Oryzias latipes: one gene and its partner. The protein of the gene in region 1 purifies or fractionates together with the protein of each later gene. This does not show direct contact. Links are inferred from orthologs where the notes say so. Each region holds a gene or a part of one and is shown in the gene's direction. Other genes may lie near its edges. The genes, in order: eif2ak3 and tbl2.

The links.
Region 2: the proteins of eif2ak3 (region 1) and tbl2 purify together in Homo sapiens (affinity purification with western blotting; 3 studies listed by BioGRID). This does not show direct contact. The link is inferred for Oryzias latipes from reciprocal best matches to the Homo sapiens genes EIF2AK3 and TBL2.

What each region holds. Positions count from the first base shown.
Region 1 is NC_019880.2:22,050,304-22,054,131, reverse strand, and holds the end of eif2ak3 (eukaryotic translation initiation factor 2-alpha kinase 3), read left to right. Parts: intron 1-180; coding exon 181-243; intron 244-1,563; coding exon 1,564-1,746; 3' UTR 1,747-3,603; downstream 3,604-3,828. UniProt on the Homo sapiens protein: Metabolic-stress sensing protein kinase that phosphorylates the alpha subunit of eukaryotic translation initiation factor 2 (EIF2S1/eIF-2-alpha) in response to various stress, such as unfolded protein response (UPR).
Region 2 is NC_019872.2:24,987,733-24,990,505, reverse strand, and holds part of tbl2 (transducin beta-like protein 2), read left to right. Parts: intron 1-48; coding exon 49-173; intron 174-1,528; coding exon 1,529-1,713; intron 1,714-2,200; coding exon 2,201-2,352; intron 2,353-2,588; coding exon 2,589-2,715; intron 2,716-2,773.

The sequences.
Region 1 (3,828 bases):
TGCTCTTAAAAGCTTAGTTCTCTGCTGTAGGAGCAGCCTTGTATTTGTGTGTGCGAGTGCTCCTGCGCAGACGGGCCGATGCTCTGCTCTCACTGCGCCGAGCAGCTGGGGACCTTTGTCTTGGCGACAAAGGCGGTCTTGGTGCAGCTGCGCTCACAGGTGTTTGCATCCTTCTCCTAGACCCTCACGGAGGTGAGAGTGCTGCGCTTCCCAGAGGTCTTCTCCAGAAACAACAGTCAGGAGGTGAGTGAAGGTCGTCTGCTGCCATCTAGTGGCACCACACACTCATGAGTCTGGGTTCACTTTGTGCCCCAGCAGCTGTAATACCACTGTACAGTCATTCTGTGCTCAGTCACAGAGAAAACAAGCATTTTATGAGTTTCCACCTAAAACCTGAGCCGGTCTTCATGAACACACAGCTGACATCCTGCCAACGGGAAATGGTTTTTTTAAGCCAATTAAATAATTGGGTCCTTTCAGCAGGTATTGAACAAGTGTACCACATTAGTTAAATGCCCCTTTTGACCCGTTAAATGACTAATTATTTAAAATAACATTGATCTAAAGCTAAACAGGGGGGTATGTTAGTCACGTCATCTGGGAGATAAACGACCTTCAATAATAATTTAATAAACGGGATTATCTGGATTAGGTTGACTCCAAAGACGATTAGATAAGTAGACCTACAAATGTCACTGAAGTGCACCAGAAACATGATTACTGTTGTTAAAAATCTGACAGAGTAGTAGATTTAGCTCTGTAGAAAGAGGTAGTCTAATAAAAGCTAAAGAGCACTGATCTAAAGAAGAAAATCACTAGAAAGTGTTGAATTTATCTGTCCAGGAAGTTGTTTTTACTATGCAAACTATCCCATAATAACATCTAACAAACAAGGACTTCCACACAAGCATTAAAAAAAAAGTAGACATTTTGCTAAATGCAAAATTACTGCAAATGAGATGTTATTCCATCCAATAATTAGTATTTTTTGTTGGTTTAAAGCAAATGGTTCGTGTTTTTGGAGTTTTTCTGTGCCTCCTTGAAGTTCATTGTGTTTAGAACGTGTGCGACTCGTTTCAGAATAAAATGTGAGCAAACTTAGAACAGATTCTTGGTACAAATTGGCGCAGCTTTATAAATCCTCATAAAATCTAAAACTAGCACTTCTTCCCAGAAGATACTGTAAATCAAAATTTTTGTTTTTTAAAATGTTGCCAATGAGGGTCAGTCTAAGCTGTAAAATGACATCCTTAAAGTAAAAATACATGTTTTTCTATTGTCAAGAGTTTAAACTAAAATGGACTCATTTTAATAATAATAATAATTGTCTTATTTCTAGATATCTGAGACAAAAACGTTGCTTGAAAAGGCGTTAAGCCGCCTCAAACCTGCTCAAATATCTTCAATGTCTAAAAACAAGGTTTGAAAAGTTTCCAGTCAGTGATTTTTCGGACTCCTTCAGTTGTGTTCATGTTGTGTTGCGTGCGTTCATCTCGACAGGATGTCCGTGTTGCATCACGGCGGCTCTGATTGCACTCGGCTGTGTTTTCTGTCTGCTTCCAGCTGGGCATGGTCCGCAGCATGCTCTCCCTGAGCCCCAGCGAACGCCCAGAGGCGGCCGACATCACAGGAACGCCCCTCTTCCAGGAGCTGGAGCTGCCTTGCCGGCTGGCTGTGAGGCAGCGCTCCCGCACCTACAGCTCATCTTCAATGGGCCGGCCCTCACGCCAAACCTCCGCCACCTGAAACACGTGACTGCGGTGACCCTCGGTGACCCCTCTGTTGGGAGGCCGGGTCCTCCTGAAACACAAAGCCGCAGAAATCCGCATCGCTTTTTCAGGAGATCCTGCACAGTTTGGGGTTTTTGTGTTTCGTTAGTTTCAGTTCAGACTGTCCCACAGAAGGCAGGCATGTGTTCATGACCACAACCGCCAACCGCCGATGGGTGTAGATACTTCAGCTGTGGATGATAAACACGTCTGCATCATGGCGGCTGATCTCCAACTGAAACCTCAGTCTTGGGCTCCTCCAAACCTGCTGGAACGCCTTCTGGGTCGGTCAGTGTTCGCTCACCTTCACCTCGCCCCACACCTGCAGGACGACTCTCCACAGGGGACCTTTGACGCCCACCATCCTCCCGATTCCAGGGACCTGCTGTCCACATCCTCTACATGCCTGACCCGAAAGACCAAAAAAGGACCTTTGCCCTCTCTCTTTTTTTTAAAGAGTTAGTAACGTATTTCCTAGAGAGAAGCTTTCCATCCAGGCCAATCACCTTGAGGGCGGGGCCAGTGACCCCTCAGAGGGAATGCTGGGCATTTGACTGGTGTCTCTATGGGGAAGTGTGGTGCTGAATGTGAGCTGATGGGTTTTTCTCAGAGGGACAATCATTTTCTAACTGTACATATTCTCTGGGGGGGAACCTCGTTTCTCTCCGTTGTTTTTTTTTGGATCTTGTACAGACAGTTCGACTTGTTAAAGGCTTTTTTTTAATGAAGAAACTGTAAGATAGTGTGATATACTGTGACACGGGAGGCGAAGAGGGGACAACCTCTGCCGTTAACGGAAAGCTGAATGTCATGGTGGGACCTCCAGACACACGGTGGCGGTCACCTCTAACAAATTGTTCATTGTTTTTTTTTGTTTTGTTTTTTCTCATTTTGCTCTTTAGTGGACCCGACCGGAGGGTTTGGGTCTGAACAGCTGGGGGGGGGGCTGCTGCAGGTACCAGAGTGCCATTTGAAAGTCAGTGAAGTGTACTTTTCTGTAACCGATAACTCGCCTCGTTATCCGTCTTGACCCGACCCCATCCCGCTGGTGGAAACACGGCACACCGGGGCAGAAAGCGCCGGGTCGACCCTATGCACTGCGGGGGGGGCCTGGACCTGATCACATGATCCTCTTCTGAAGTGCTGGGAGAGTCACATGACTTGTTAGGAACTACACACACACAAACTCTTATTTTGTAGAAGTCCTCTCAAAGACTGTACTTTTCCAAAAAGGAAAACCTTCATTTTTTTAACACAAAGTGCAGTTTTTTTAGAATTCTGCTGTGTTTTTAGACGACTGCAGAGCCGACTGATGATGCTCCTTCATCCGCCCTGAAGAGCGCCGTCCTCGCTGGTTTAACGGGCTCTCCTCCCGCCGCCGTGAACTGCAGAGGTTATCATGAAGCTTCCAGAGCTGAAAGGCGAAAACGCTCTTCTTCATCAAACCCTTTTTGGACAAACCTTTTGTACAATTTTTTTCTACTTCTTAGTCTTGGTCAAAGAGTTTAATGTTGGTTTGAGGAAACATTTTCATCCAGTAGGTGGTCTGGAGTTACTGAGAAGGTGAGCTTCGATGATGAGGAGTCCAACTTTCCCAGCAGAACACCCACCTGCTCCTCTTCATCGTGTTGATGAAGTGGTGTCCTCGAGCCCCGCCTCCCATCACACTGTCCATAGTGAATTTGTAAATATGTCAGTTTGCTTTATTTATGTTTTGATGCTGCGATCAATCCTCGCTGGGTTGGAGTTGTAATGAATGTGCTTCCCGGAGCGCGTTGGAGTATGACGACTTCTTAAAAGTCTAAGTTTAATAAACTCTTCTATTCCATTCGTACAGCTGTGCGCCTCTCATTCCGTCCGGAGATTTGCTTTGTCTCCAAAATAAGAGAAATATCGGCAAAAACAGACTTCATCCCAGGGGCGGAGCTATGGGGGGTTGGGAGGGGGGCAGCTGCCCGCCCGCCCAGCAAAAAGCTTTGCCCCCATAATCTTTGAGTCAATATTAGCATCTTTATTGAAATGGAGTAAGAAATCAGCAATACTAGCCCCTTAAAGCATT
Region 2 (2,773 bases), on another chromosome or scaffold:
ATCTCACAGATTCACTCATAGAAGGTATAAACCTCTGTTTGCTTTCAGCTGATGCCAGTTCTGTGAAAGGAGCGACATCCAAGAAGCAGAAGCAGGAGAAGCAGCAGCGCAGCCGCAAAGATAAACCGACTCTGCACACTTTCAGTCATCCTCTGCTGGCAGCCTCACTGAAGGTGAACTGGCACACGTGTCAAAGGAAAATCACAGACCTGTTGAGTAATCTGCAATATTTTTACTTAGTTTTTTTAGCAGCTGTATTTATTTTTTAACACTGGTACATCCATACAAGCATAAGTCTGGGGCAGGATGGTCCCACAGCATAAGACACACGGTGGATGATGGTTTTTTTATTTAAGTTTTTCATTTGACATAAAAAAGGGAGATGTGGAGGTAGGGACCAAGGTTGGTCCAAAGGAGTTAAATAAATAAAATAAAACACGGCCTAGCTATCAGTATCATAAAACAAGAAAAGTCTCACAGACTAAGGGATCCAAAATATGTAATAGGTGAGATCAACAACTTACCTAGTGTGTATAACAAAACGATAAGCAACGCGAGGTGTGCAGGGTACCTTGTCTTACCTGTGCACAAACCTCCCACACTCTCAGAGGACTGAGCTGCACACATGCATTCACAAAGTGGGCTGAAGAGCAAGAGAGAGCCTCCTTCCCAGAGTTCCTCATGAGATTTTAGACAGTCCTGGTGAAGCAGTGAATTCTACTTGGAGGTCAAGGTGAAGGAAAAAGGAGAACAGAGAAAAACACCATCTTGTAAACATTTACGCCCATTGGGCTTGGAAGTATGATTGCTTGTTTTCACAGAAGTCATCTGCTTTGCTATAGAGGGGCTACCTAACTACTTTCAAACACCTTAGAAAAAACAAATTATTTTAGTATTACCTCTTAAAGCATGTCCATACATTAAAAAATACCTTCCATTGGCTGATAAATCTTCTCTAATTTTCAAAAAATATTTTTTTGGTTATAGCTCAAATGCTTAGTTTGATAAATGGGTGGATGAAATATAAAATTGTTCACTAAAATGTAATATTTTGGAATTAAAAAAGGGGAAATTTACAGCAAAAACTAGCTCTTAATTATTTTTTTTAATTTCATTAAAGACACTGAACTATAGGTTTGTTTAAAATTTAAAGTCAATTAATGAAAGATAAAACGTTTGACCTGTTTTATTATGAACTTATCCTCTTTTGTGGGGAAATCAGTTTATTTCTATCATAAAATGTTTTCAAAATCCACGAACCAACTCATTCAGTAAGTCTGAATATGGCTATAATTGGCGTATTCATATATTTTTAGATATTTATTCTGTTTTTCACAAAGAAAGATTTGTTTTGGACAGAATGAGGCAGCACTAATGTCACCATTTCATGTAAAGTTCATATAACCATGAGGATTGTGTAGCTTTTCCATATCTGTCGACTTCCTTCACCACCTGCTGCTTTTAACTTTACACTGTAAACCTGAGCCTGAGTTGATCTGCAGTCCTCCGTTTGCATTCTGCTCCTCAGGGCCACAATGGGAAAGTGACGTGCCTCGATTTCAGCAGCAATGGGAAGTACCTGGCTTCCTGTGCCGACGACCGCACCGTCCGGATCTGGAGCACCAAAGACTTCCTGGACCGAGAACACAAATGTCTGCGAGCTAATGTGGAGCTGGATCACGCCCTGCTGGTCCGCTTCAGTCCAGACTCCAGGTTTGTTTTGCAGACTGGCTGTCCGCCGCCAAGATTCTGAATCCACTAGATTCACAAGCGATTTATGAGGTCATTTGTTTAAATATATATGATTTGGTTACGAAAACCACTGATTGCATACACAGAGATATAAACTAAAAAAAGGTGTAACTTGCAATGAAAAAAACCATTAATAATATTGAAAACTAAGCGATTTTTATTCTGAAGATAAGCGGTAATGCTTTTATTTTGAAAGCATTGTAACAAAAGCTGATGGGTTACTTTTAAATGAAAACAAATGTATGGATTTGATGAACTGATATTGGGTTTTGGAGGTAGAGACTGATTTGATGTGGATTATTCAAAGAAGAGTTTAGTTTGAATCTGTTACAGTTTCTTACACTCTCCGGCACTATCCTTTTCTATTTTCATCCATCCAGCATCGGAAGTGCAGAACTTATGTCGGAAAATGTGCTTTAAGAGACTCGCTGTGTATTTTCCACTGCAGAGCGTTCATCACCTGGCTGGCGAACGGAGACACTGTTCGCATTTTCAAGATGATCAAAAAAGATGACGGCACTTTTAACTTCAAGGCCGCTCCGGAGGATTTCCCTCAGAAACACAAGGCGGCCATTCTGAACATCGGCATCGCTGAGACGGGTACGGAGAGAGTCTTTGAAGCTGCATGTTGGCTTTCGCTGTAATTTTTGCAAGAACATTTAACAAATGATTTTACAGCAACCAATGAGGCTTCCCAGGGAACTTCCTGCTATTTTGTGTGTTTAGTTGACATGGTAGTAGCTTTCATTGTATTTATGGATGTCATGGGTCAACTTTTTTTTTCTATGACATCATTTTTCACAGGTTTTAGGGCAAATTTTTCTTCTTTCCTTCAGGGAAGTTTATAATGAGCGCCTCTACAGACACCAACATTCTCATCTGGGACCTGAAAGGAGATCTTCTGGCCTCCATCAACACTAACCAAATGACCAATTCTTATGCTGCTGTGTCCCCATGCGGCAGGTCAGTCCAACCATCATCACTTCAAACTTTTTTCCGGGATGACTCGATTTTCTTTTTT